2 linked regions of the Yarrowia lipolytica genome follow. The protein of the gene in region 2 binds, or shares a complex with, the protein of the main gene of each other region. Links are inferred from orthologs where the notes say so. Each region holds a gene or a part of one and is shown on either strand. Other genes may lie near its edges.

Evidence for each region. The genes of interacting proteins can lie anywhere in the genome.
Region 1: YALI1_B14150g (region 2) and YALI1_B21798g share a complex: the UniProt entries of both Saccharomyces cerevisiae proteins name them as parts of the mitochondrial small ribosomal subunit. The link is inferred for Yarrowia lipolytica from reciprocal best matches to the Saccharomyces cerevisiae genes NAM9 and RSM26.

What each region holds. Positions count from the first base shown.
Region 1 is NC_090771.1:2,177,653-2,181,739, reverse strand, and holds YALI1_B21798g (mitochondrial 37S ribosomal protein mS42), read right to left. Parts: upstream 1,937-4,087; coding exon 1,154-1,936; downstream 1-1,153. Other genes in the region: YALI1_B21816g (uncharacterized protein), read left to right, coding at 53-760; YALI1_B21787g (uncharacterized protein), read left to right, coding at 2,953-3,927. UniProt on the Saccharomyces cerevisiae protein: Component of the mitochondrial ribosome (mitoribosome), a dedicated translation machinery responsible for the synthesis of mitochondrial genome-encoded proteins, including at least some of the essential transmembrane subunits of the mitochondrial respiratory chain.
Region 2 is NC_090771.1:1,410,227-1,419,301, reverse strand, and holds YALI1_B14150g (mitochondrial 37S ribosomal protein uS4m), read right to left. Parts: upstream 4,238-9,075; coding exon 2,522-4,237; downstream 1-2,521. Other genes in the region: YALI1_B14187g (uncharacterized protein), read left to right, coding at 496-551, 601-2,161; YALI1_B14147g (uncharacterized protein), read left to right, coding at 4,540-5,634; YALI1_B14121g (uncharacterized protein), read right to left, coding at 6,577-7,149; YALI1_B14064g (uncharacterized protein), read right to left, coding at 8,946-9,075. UniProt on the Saccharomyces cerevisiae protein: Component of the mitochondrial ribosome (mitoribosome), a dedicated translation machinery responsible for the synthesis of mitochondrial genome-encoded proteins, including at least some of the essential transmembrane subunits of the mitochondrial respiratory chain.

The sequences.
Region 1 (4,087 bases), about 760 kb from region 2:
CTTACAAGCAACCACTCTCTAGCCATAACGAAGACAAAAACTAAAGATACCCATGAATCTCACTCAAAGTTCGTTGGATACCATTTCTGCCATTTCTAAGCATGAAACCAGTATCCCTCAGCTCGAGAAGCTCACATACAGAGTTTTAAACGAGACCGATGCTACAATCCTCGAGAAGCTCGATCTTTACGAGTCTCTGGCACTGGAACGAGCCGTCAAAGAGTCAGATGTGAGTGATCTTCCCGAGGACTTGAGGGAAGCAAACATTGAGACGCTTAAAAGTCGCGTGAAGGAGCTGGAAACGCGCTTGAACGTCCAAAGGCGCGTCACACGCGACTCCATTGCATCCTCAAGCATTCTCAATGCCATTCACCACGGACGAGAAACAACTTTTCACGAGTCGTCACTCCTGCCACTACTGGCTCTGCGAGACGAAAAATCACGTGACCTTCTTGACAGCCTGATAGTCGTCACTGGTCTCCGCAAACAGCTGGATGTATTAATATGCGAGAACCGTGCTTCGCTGGACACGCAGCGGTCGATAGTTCGGTCGATTGAGAAGGCCAATGACAAGAGCGCGGACCGTCATCAAAACAACCAGGCTATTAGTGAGCTCGAGGCCAAGCTACACAACACCAAAAACAAACGACGAGTTCTGGCAGAGATTTTCACAGCTCTGATCACCGCCTCTGGGATCGATTGGTGTGAGGACGAGGATTTGGTTCAGCTGATTGTTGGCGCAGGAGAGCTGAACAGGTAATAATGAGAAAGAGTGAGCTATTTATTGGATGTCTATGGGACAATGACTAATGGCGTAAGAACTTCGGTTTCTAACGCTGGAAGTGAGGTATTTCTAATGAGTAGATGGGGGGTCTGAAAAGAATACTGTACTGAGCTTCAGACTCATGAGCAGAGCTCCAGCACGAGCCTCTGGCTACACACTAAAGTAAACATTAATGCTTTCTATTTTTGATACATGGACAAACAGTTGTACAACGTGAGCAGATTCAGGTATACAGAGCACTAGATAGTGTCTACGTGAGCCACTACAAGTACGTGAAAACCGTGGGGAGACGTACTGTTGCCGACATCCCTTACATGATAAAATCATTCAACTATATACATTCAGATCCCCCTTTTTTATATTCATCCCTTACTGGGCACCAACAAACAGTCTAGCGTTGACAACATCCCAGTTAATACACTCCCAATAGTTCTCCAAGTAATTGTACTTGCCGTTGACTCCGTAGTCGTCCACGTAGGCTTGCTGCCACACATTGACGGCCAGCAGAGGCAGGATGGACTCCTTGAGGCCCTTTCGCACAGCAGCCTCAATGTTTTGCTGGTCCCGCTTGACCTCCTCGGAGGCGGGGAAGTTGAATTCTTGATGCTGGAATCGCTGGAACGAAAAGGGAGATCCTGCGTTGTGGTGAGCCGAAATGTACATGTTCTTGTCTCCTCCCTCGTAGAGGAAGACCCATCCGTTTCCGGTCATCTCGTCGGCGGTAGCCAAAAAGTTCTCTCGGGCTCGCTCCATGGACTCGAACTTGTCCTCCAGTCGAGAACGCAGGTAGTCTGTCGGCGCTGTGGTCTGGGCCACGGGCTTCTCGGCCAGAGCCTCGAAGAAAAAGTGGTTGTTGAAGGCTTGAGAGGCAAAGTTGAATGTAGCAGCCTGATCTCGGTCGGCGGCAGTGAATCGCAAAATATCAAAAGGGGATCGCGATTGCAGAGGAGTGTCGACGGTCAGGTCAGTGAGCTTGGACACCAGGAACCGCTGGTAGTCGGTCCAAGCGGTGTTGAAGCCGTTTTTGGAGTACAGACCCTCCAGGCCGTTCTGGGCGTACTTGGACTCTCGTGAAAGCTTGGCGGGGGTGTGGATGGATCGGATCGAGCCGATCTGGGTCACTTTGGCTCGGCTAATCACGTTTCGAAACATGGTGTCTGGAGTGCAAAATGGAGATCTGGATGTGTCCAAGTGAAATTTTGGCCCTTGTACGGTAACCTTAATTGGCTGGTGAATGAGCTGTGGGCGAGGAAGATATAAATGTACAACAAGGGATTACGTAGTAGAGCGCCTTTTTTGGAGATATTATAGCGGTGTAAGAAAAAGTTATTTGACTGCGAATTAATTACAAATCAACAATTGTGTCATTCCTAATGTTCTCGTACTTGTACAAACTTGCGCGGGTCTCACAGCAAAAGAATTTGTGTTAGCCAGTTGGGAGTTCTGTACCTTATGTACGTAATCGCTGGTTGGTCTGGAAGGAGTAGATCGGAAGAGCGGGTCAGGTACAGTAATGGAGTCGCTATTATTGTCACTGAACGTCAAACTGTCAGGCCTTGCTGTAACTCATCTGTGGAGACCCGACCAGTGCGGTTATCACACCCTCCCCCCTTCCCCAGGTGTCTACAGTACGAGTACGAGTACGAAAGGTGTGCTTACATAATCTCCAAATGTCTACGAAAACTGCGGGTACGACTCTATATTTTGTTACAGTAGGCGTGCTCGTGCTAGTACAAGTACAATACAGCATTGTATAGTGTAGCTACCCTACTTGTGGCTTTCGTACAAGTACAGTACTATTTAGTATGACCATATACAGTAACTACTGTAGCTACTCGTAGCTATATCACAGTGACTCGACACTATCAGGCACCAAATTACACTTCCGAGTGGTCTTCCCAACTGGGCGTTTTGAAGGCAAGGCGGATACCGACAGGGTCTGTGTGTGATGTCAAATTAATGACTACTGAGAAGACCAGGTCTATGAGCTAGCTCCACAGACATGAAATAATGGAATCCAGTATTTCTTGCTCTTTGGAAACACACAATCCCGGGAAAAGTACACCTCCACTAGCCCATCGCATGCAAGCTCTAGGTGCATACTTTTGCATGTATCCAGTATGACATTGCTACCACCGTGAACAGTCTCTCTTCTACGTTGTCCAACCATGTTTGTGCGACAGTTACGGCCTTTGAGCGGCTTGATAAGCTCCCGGCAGCCAGTGTGTACTTTTCTACGGCCATTTTCGTCATCTTTACGACTCCAGCATCCTCCTCGAGGCGATGCTCGTCGGATGAGAGCACGATTCAGACCTGTCGACACCCAGGATCCAAACGTGAACCCCAATGTGGTGCAGCCTGCATACTACAACCAGGTACCCAACCCTGGCGGAGTGCTTACTGGTGCTGATGCCATCACCAGAATGCTTTCTGAGCCGATTCTGGTGGTTGAACGTCGTATGGAGATGATGAACCTGATCCTAGGCTTTGAACAGGCCAACAAATACATCATCATGGATGGCAATGGAAACCAGCTTGGGTTCATGGAGGAGGAGGATTTCGGCTTTGTCAAGGCTATCATGCGACAGGTGTACAGACTTCATCGACCCTTCAAGGTCAACGTCTACGATAACGCAGGCAACCATCTGCTGACCATTTCTCGAAAGTTTTCCTTTATTAACTCCAAGATCAAGGCTATTCTTCCCGCTAGCCAGGGCGACGGCATCATTATTGGAGAATCACAGCAACAATGGCACTTATGGAGACGAAAATACAACTTATTCCAGCATCACAGCAATGACGAGTACGACCAGTTTGCAGACATTGACGCTCCCTTCCTGAGTTTTGCGTTTCCTGCTCGTGACAGGGAAGGGGCTATCATGGGAGCTGTGGATCGAAACTGGGTGGGTCTGGGACGAGAGTTCTTCACAGATACCGGTATCTACGTACTGCGAATGGACCCTTCGGCCTTTTTGGCCGTTCCTGATGTCGGTAAGGTTGTGGGACCCATGACATTGGATGAGCGAGCTGTTCTATTGGCCACCGCCGTTAGTATTGATTTCGACTATTTCTCCAGACACAGTCGAAGCTCGGGAGGACTCTTTTCCATGGGAGGAGGGGACTACTTTGACGACATGTCCTAAATGTTTATAGTGTATAGAATCCATCTGATATAGGGCTGAGGGGATAAGTAGTAGACTATGTCGTACTTGTACTTATACTTGCAATGTTTCATATGTACATCATTTTGTACATTTTGTATGAACCTGTACTTCTACGAGTTACTGTATGTACATAATTACT
Region 2 (9,075 bases):
AGAAAGAGAGATGATGGAGTGTTAAAGGAGCTATGCAGGAGATGGACATGTAGAAGTCGGTTTGGACAATTTCCATACCCGATGAAAAAAAAAACACCCTCAATCGTATTCTGACTCTGGACATCAACTGTTTGACCACGCAGCACCTCTCGCACCCCTGACCCACACCCTTCACATCTAACCAATTACAGTAAGTAATCAAGTAACTCATCCAAGTAACCTTACCTACGCTACTCTAAACACACCACCACCGACAGAAATGCCTCATAGGGGCAATACATCCGATTGAACAGCTATTTCAACCCCAGACAAGAATGTGTAGACTTGAAAAACGTCATGAACGCTTGGACCACCTCCCCATTCATTCCCACACTCCCACAGCTGATACAATCCAACTCAATTACAGACACAGCCAAACTCAGTTACCTTCCAGCGAAGCACGTTTACAGTATCGTACAACCAGGAGCATCATCCCTCTGCACAACACACTACACAATGCCAGCAGACCCTCAGACCATCCAGGGCTACAATGTCGTGACGCTCTTGAAGCGGTGAGTCAATTGACACGAAATGAACCCTCCAAGTCACCCACTAACCCAGTCTCGAAGCCGCCACGTCTCGTCTTGAAGACCTGACCTCCGCTCAAAAGGCGCATGTTGACGAGCGAGGTCCCCAGAACGCTGCAGCGACCAAGGCTGGCGTTGATGCGCCCTCCCGATCCTCTGCTGCTCCCGCTGCTCCCGCTGCCGCCACTTCTTCTGCTGCAGCCGATGCCGACCTGCCCAAGTGGATCTCCGAGTTTGATGCTCTCATCAAGACCCACGTTGACCCCTTTGTCGCTACCTCCAAGCAGCTCGATGCCACCATTGGCGAGCAGGCCGAGGCTTTCAAGAAGGCCTTCGATGCCCAGCGAGACTTCTTGGCTGTCGCTGCTGTCGCCAAGAAGCCTGAACCCACCTCTTCCGCCTTTGCTGAGCTTGTCAAGCCCATCTCCTCCAACGTGGAGTCCATCATGAACATCCGTGAAAAGACCAGAGACCCCAAGGTGTCGTCTCATCTGGCCACCGTGGCCGAGGGAGCTCCCCTGGTCGGATGGGTCGCCTCAGACCTGCCTCTTCCTCTCATTGGCGACTTCAAGGACTCCGCTCAGTTCTACTCCAACCGGGTGCTCAAGGACTTCAAGAGCGTGGACCCCAAGCATGTGGAATGGGTCAAGGGTTTCAACGGCATCGCCGACGCTCTCCAAGCCTACGTCAAGGAGTTCCACACCACCGGTCCCACCTGGAAGGTTGGAGGTATCCCTGTTGAGGAGGCTCTAAAGACTCAATCCAAGTCTGTCGCTGCTCCCACTGCTGTCCCCGCTCCCGGTGGAGCTCCTGCCACAGGAGGAGGCCCTCCTCCTCCTCCTCCCCCTCCTCCTCCTCCTGCTAGCATCTACGAGACAGACTCTGCTGCTCCTGCTGCTCCTTCTGGTGGTATGGGTGCAGTGTTTGCTGACCTGTCCAAGGGCGAGGCTGTCACTGCTGGTCTGCGAAAGGTCGACAAGAGCGAAATGACCCACAAAAACCCCGATCTGCGAAAACAGGACCCTGTTGGCGCCTCCGGAAAGGCAGCTCGACCTCTTCCTCCCAAAAAGCCCGGATCTTTGTCTAAGGCCACTCCTGCTGCCCCTGCCCCCAAGCAGCGACCCGCCAAGACCGAGCTGCTTGACACGAAATGGTTTGTTGAGAACTACGAGGGCGACCAGAACATTGTCATCGAGGGCGAGATGAACCAGGGTGTCATGATCGAGAACTGCAACAACTCAACGGTGCAGATCAAGGGCAAGGTGTCGGCTGTGTCTCTCAACAACTGTAAGAAGCTTGGTCTTCTGGTGGAGAACCTGGTTTCTGGAGTTGACGTGATTCGATGCAAGGACTACGCCATCCAGGTGACTGGTGTTACCCCCATGGTCACTATTGACCAGAGTGACGGAGGACAGATCTATCTGTCCAAGGAGAGCATTGGTGCTGAGGTGTATACTTCGCAGACCACTTCCTTAAACATCAACATCCCCACCGACGATGGAGACTATGAGGAAGTGCCTGTTCCCGAGCAGCTCATCCACAAGATTGTCAACGGCAAGCTCGTCACCTCTGTTGTTGATCACAGCAGTGGTTAATATTTAATAACATTGATACGAAAGATGTAGGATACAGTATGTATACCAACAGTATCGCTACAAAAAGTACGGCACAAGTAACTGTCATATATATACTGTATTTCCGAAATCATATTTGTTACAACACAAGTACATACAGTACATACTACGAATGTCGTGGAATGTGATAAAGACGAATATGATGGACATTGACGTTACTATGCTTTCCGTATTCATCTATCCATATTAATACAAGTAGTGCTACAGTAATTGCACATTTTATACAAGTACATACTGTACATACTATAGTATGTACAACAGTTGAGACCGGTCTCTACAGTATTCAAATTTCGCTTTCAATGCTAATACAGTATATACAAACTACTTCTTAATGTAGTATAAGTTGGCAAACTCGTGGTTGATCAGAGGGAAGGGAGAAATGACCTCCGACATTCCGGGTCGGGCAACAGGGTCTCGCAGGTAGACGGCGGAGCAGGTAGTGAAGTCAACCTCAATGTGGTGGGGGTAGATAACCGAAGGAGAAATGAAGGGTCGGAATCTCCAGGGTGTAAAGTAGGGCTTAGAGATATCCTGTCGGCCGTACAGATGCTTCTTCTGCCAGGGGAACTCCTGGGCGACCTCGGCCTCGTTTTCAGCGGCTTCGGCAGCATCAATCTTCTCTCGCAGAGGTCCTAGCAGCTGCAGCCATCGGGGGTTGACCTCGGTGTCCTGGACAGAGGGATTCAGCAGCTTTTGCTGATGCTCATTGTAGCTGTCGTGGATAGAGTCAGCCACGTTGGTCTTCATTTCCTGGATGAGGCATCGGGCGGCGTAGACCACCTTTCGCTCCTCGACTCCGGCAAACTCGGCTTTTCGCGAAATTAGACAGCTGGACACAATGTTCTTCGTATGAGGGCTCTCGATGGACGAGACGTGGTTGATGTCCTTGGGATGGATAGCAAACTCCAGCTTCTTGGAGCCGATGCCCGCCATGTTCTTGTTTCGCTGCTCAATAAGATGATTGGCATTGGAGCGCACGGTCTCGGCCTTCTTTTGCTCAGCAGAGCCCTCTACCGCGGCCTCAGCCTTTGTCTCAGCCTCCTGGGCCAGCTTGGTGGATCGCTCGTTGAGAAGCTCAATGACGGCCTCGGGGGTTAGGAAACCCTCAGCAGTGGGAGCGACCGGGTCCGCACCGTTGGCAGGGAACTGCTGGTCAATTAGCTTGAGTAGCTTCTCACCCAGAACCTTGGTATCGTCAGTCTGGGTCTTAAGAAACTCGTCTCGGCCAGTGATGAGATCCTCGAAGATGGCAGCGGAGCACAGCTCTCGGAGACGGGCCAGCATGGCCTGGAAGGCCACCTCGTTGGCCTTCTGAAGCTGCATCTGCGTCTTGGGGTCCATCAGCTTTCCAGCCTCTCGCTTCTTGATCTTGTCGAGACGCACGTTCCACATCTTCTCAGGATCATCGTTGCACTTTTTGATGTACTGGTTGTACTTTTTGATCTGTCGGTTGTCGATCTTGACAGCCTCCTCAACGGAAGGCTTGGCCTTACCGGCAGCAAAGAGGACCTTCTCGGGCTTGACTGAGATGAGATCTCCGGGCTTGAGGGTGTAGGAGGCATGCTTGATCTTGACTCCATTGACAGTCACATTGCCCTGTCGAATAAACTGGCCGGCCTGTCGAATGGATGCGGCAAACATGGACCGGAACACGGCAAAGTCCAGTCGCTTCTCCAGATGCACAAACGTCTGCATGGCAAACGGCGTCTTGAGCTTTTTGTTGCCCTCGGCATCAAACTCCAGCATCTGATCGTCGAATCGGTTAGCCATGATTCCTTCGGAGGTCACGTCGTCTCCCAGAGGCAGAACCACACCCTGCAGCTTCTTGGGGATCTGAGTGGTCAAGGTACCCTCTCGAATGTGTTCTCCATGATAGGCTCGCAGCTCTCGCTTGGAGGCCCACTTCTTCTGGAAAAGCGTCTTTTCATCCCGCAGAAAGTCCGTCTTCTTGTACAAGTTGTACAGGTTGCGGGGGTTCCATGAGGCTCGCACCTTACCTCGAGCCAGAGAGAAGAGGTTTTTCGCTTTATGGGGCATTTTGGGGTGGTGATGTATATCTTGTGATTGAATTTTTCACTCAGATGCACGGTAGGGTAACTGAGGTGTAGGTGGGAGTAAATGAGAGGTGACAAAAGTCCCAATCTTAAGAGAGTTTGGTGATGTGTAAATGTTAGTTGGGGGTTAGTTGGAAGTTAGTTGAAAGTGCTACAGACAATGTAAACACTCGCTACACCACCAAGCACAAGGTCAACGTGCAGGAGGTTGAGAGGTAGCACACGAACCGTAGAGCCGGAGCACCATCTACAATCACAACTGTACCATACTAACGACATTGCATCATGAAGAAAAAAGAGGAAGATGAGACGGGGATGGTGAAAAGGGAAGATACAGACGACACATCGACACAAGCAGTGGACGGAGCAGAAGTTGAGAGTAACGGACAAGGTGATGCCGGAACAGACTCTTCTCCATGGTCCATAGAGAGCGAGACAGTGCTGTTCAACTCGCTGTGCAAGTTCAAGCCCGTGGGCATCCACAAACATTTCCGCATGATTTCTCTGTCGGCTTCGCTGAACTACTATTTTTCCGAATCGCCGAAGGACGCGCCTGTGTTCTCTCACCAGGACGTGTGGGACAAGCTGGGCACTCTGTACGACCTGGATGGACTAGACGAACTGGAGTACGTGGCCGACAACCAGGATTCGGACATGGACGAGGATGAGGATGACGAGGCTGCGATTGAAGGGATCGCAAAGCGGTCGCAGATGAAGGAGTTCGTGCTGCCGTTCCGCGATTATGGGTTTCTGCAGATTGAGCAGGCTACTGCGGTTGCCAGTGAACAGTCTAGTCCAGCCATGTCGCGCGAGCAGTCTGTCTTGGAAGACGGACCCACAGCTGGGGATGAAAAGAAGGGCCTTGCTGACGATGACGACGAGTCCAGTGATCTGGATGAACTGGACGACGAGGAGATGAAACTGGCGGAAACCAAGATCAAGGTGGAGGGAGAGCAGCAGGAACGGGAGGAGAACGGAGGAGAAGAAGAGCACGACACCATGGAGGGTAGTGCAGAGCCCGAGGAAGCTGAAAAATCGGAGGAGGAAGGAGAAGGAGAAGAATCTGGAGAATCGGAGAGTGAATCCGGTTCGGAATCACAGTCTGACTCGGACGCACAAACAGGCCGCCAACGAAGAACGCGAGCAGCCACTGCAGCAGCTGTTCGTGGCCGAGGGACCTCAAAGGGCAAGACTGTTCGCGACAAAAAGTCGTCGCCCAGCACCCGTGCTTCCTCCGCTCCGAGACGGTCGACGAGACGGAAGGCGACAACGGAACCCGAAGATACAGCTACAGAACGAGAAGAGACGCCGACGCCGAAAAAGTCGTCTGGTGGGGTGAAGAAACCTGCTCCTCGGCGCAGCACCAGGAGAAAGAAGTGATGAGGTGTGTTTGAGATTGAAGGGGGGGAGGAATGTACGAGTACAAGATACCATATATAATGCTTACTAATGACATAAACATGAGCTTGGATAGCTGGGCTAGCTGTAGAAGATCTGTACTTTTAGTAGTTGGGATGGTACAGAAGAGCTTCTACTGCTTTTACTCACGAAGAGAGACTTGGTATGTTTACCGTAACTGGTAAAGTAAACAAAATCGTAGTGTAATTGCGGTTACTGTATGTGTGTACATTCGTGTATACATGACACAGGACATCGGAAGCCAACCACCACAACATGCTGGTCCTAAAATACTGTAGCACACGCCCTTGATTTTTTCGACTAGCCAGAAGCAATTAGCCATCCTTAGCGACTGTCTAATTTCCTCGGGCTGACACCTGTCAAATCTCCGCGGTACTGGTACAGTGCCGGTAGCCGAGGAGGTGTCAGATTAAGATGGAGTAACTGTCTCGTTCCAGTACGAAATTACCGAACGCCAGCGAGTGCATTGTACTCATACATTACTAAGCCTAAGCAGTGTAATTACTCGGTACGGGGTTCAAGCATATAGCCCACAGAGCGGACGAACAAACCCGTTGCAGGCACCACAGCTACGCATCTTACAGCGCATCTCCTTGCCAGTATGGTCCCATAATAGCTGCCAATGTTTGAAATGAGTGCATGTTTTGGTACAAGTATGGTGCACGTTGACGTCATGTGGAGTCTAGCCTGTGTTTTTACAGTGGTGGGTGTCCGGGCAGTGCAATGGATGTTGAACGAAGGGTCTGTGTGGTCAATTGGAGCTAATGGTACCGTAACGGCACTTGCTGGCCATCTCCAAAGGTCGCTGGGTCACGTGACTCCTCATAGCTAATTACATCTGTTACTTTACATAGTGTGACACGACTGGGGATGGTCGTCCATCATTCATCATGGTCTGCCAATTTAGTTGATACCGAGGAGCTCAACGTCAAAGACAAGAGTGGCGTTGGGGGGGATGAGGCCGGGGAAACCTCGCTCGCCGTAGCCGTAGTCACCGGAGATGGTGAGCACGGATCGCTCGCCGAGAGAGAGCTTGGGGACACCCTCGTCCCATCCTCGGATGACATCGCCGACACCAATGGTGGTCTTGAAGGGCTCGCCTCGATCTCGAGAAGAGTCAAACTTCTGGCCGTTCTCCAGAGTGCCCACGTAGTGGATGGTGACGGCATCTCCCTTCTTGGGGTAGGTCTTGCCGTCGCCGGGCTGGAGCTGCTTAACTGTGACACCCATGTTTGTGATAGAGGCGTGGAAGGCGCGTGTGTTGGTGAGTAAGAGAGGGGACTTGAGAGGGCTAGATCGAAGGCTTCTAGCTGTAAGTGATAGGGTCCGGAACATTGCGTCTGGTTGTGGCGGGCCTAGAGTATATAAGGTCTGTGAGGCATGGGCGAAATTTGACTTTTTTTCCGACACTTCCGACAGCTTCTTTGCACTTCCAAATCTTGCGGTGGGGTCAGGGCGGATTGAACAATTGGGCATATGTGCTGCTATTTTCGGTAGTAGAAAAACCAATTGCTACATATAACACCCGTCTGTATCCGGCAAGTTGTTTACTGCCTTTTTGCCATCTATTCTGCTTCTGTTCAATCGAATTGTAGGTCCACCCACCGCTATTTCCCATCTCCTCTAATCGACCTAAACTCTCGACCATCTGGGCAAAAGAGGGCAAAAAAAGGGCACAAAAAAAGGCGACAATAGACTTTGGACACCTCTCATGTACTATGACGATTGCCAACGCTAGACCATATGTGGGGAGGTCTAGCCGTGTCGTCTAAAGGGGACAATGAAATGGAGCCCGCGGAGGAGCATCTTTTTGGCACGATTGTTTCATGATCCCTTTGCGCTATAACTATTGGAAGTGTCCACTTCGTGAATGCAGACCACCATTCGCCTTAACTACCTAAACAGGAAGTACACGTCTCTCTACAACTGTCTTCTCCACAGACTCCGTATTGGAGTTGACTTTGTTTTTTTAAGGGCACCACTCACATCACTGCAACTCTGCAACTCTAGCAAGCCACCTTGAGCAACGTGTGCATCACAGACAGACACCAGAACACGTGCCTGAGAGAGGGGGAGGGGGCCGGCGTGTTTAGCGACATTTAATCTGGATCACGTGACGCAAGTTCTGATTTTTTTTCTTCTCAACCGACGAGTTTCTGCAGCTCTGTTATCTGCTCTGATGCCTCCTATAAGTACCTACTGTACTTGCTTGTAGTTACAGTGCAATACACCTTGGCTAATTTATATATACTCTACTGGCCCAGAGACACAGTGTCTACACCCACCTACACAGCCAATAGCCGCACGCGGCTTCCCAAAGCGGTTTCCGTGGCTGCACTGCGATATTTGAATGCTGGAAGAACCCCATGGTTATGGTATATTCAGGGGTACAAGTGGAAATACGGGACCTTATGGATTGTACCTGTAATGCTGTGTGTGTTCTTCCAGCTTCATCATTGCGTGTCTGATGGTTGTCCGTATCTCTAACGTGCTTGTACTCTTCCATTAGCTCATCTCACTGAGTAGTTGTACTGTTGCTACTACAAGTAGTATCGCAAGAGTGGGCCATGCAGCGGCTTACATACTGGTAGACCAAGTGGCTCTCGCCTTATGGTCCCGTCACGTAATACACGCTGTCTCAGATGTCTTGGCTAGAGTCCCTGCTTTGCGAGCTACTGTGGAGCTTCGAGTAGGAGCTCGGGACGAATACGAAAACAACGCTCAAAGTTGTCTACTTGTAGACAGCCAGAAAAAGTAACTGCTTAATCTATTCTCGGACTTATCAACAAGTCCAGACATAGCCTCAGAACTTGTGATTATTCTGATTGCTATCGGCGGATAATCCATTTACAAATACTGTATTTACCAGTCGGGTAGATATGCCCTTCCGATCATTCAAGAAGATAAAAGATATAAGAATCAGGTGTATTGGCAACTGTTTCAAATCTGAACCAGTAAGACAACATATCGTCCAACGAGATTACATGGTTCCCTTTGAACAAACGCAAGCCCCAAGTGCGTTCTCGAACCGTTTAAAATCACTCCCATTCAATGCTCGATACTGTCGGACTCCTAAATCACGTTGATCTCTACTCTGAATAGAAGCATAGATAATGCATGCACCCAGCAGTGGAGGCCATAACACCCTGACTACTGAGTACAAGTACTCACTTGCACTTGTACTTGTGGTACACTCGCTCTAACCCGTTTGTAAACACCACCATAATCATCAATCGTTATTCATTTCTATAGCCTTAAACCCTCCTCCGTTCTCACATCCTCAGATACGTCTCATAGGTTCTGGCATCAGCCCGAATCTGACGATCCCCAGACAATACACTCAACGTCTTTCTATACACGGGGTCGTACACCTTGATATTGGGCAGTTTGAACCACGTCAGA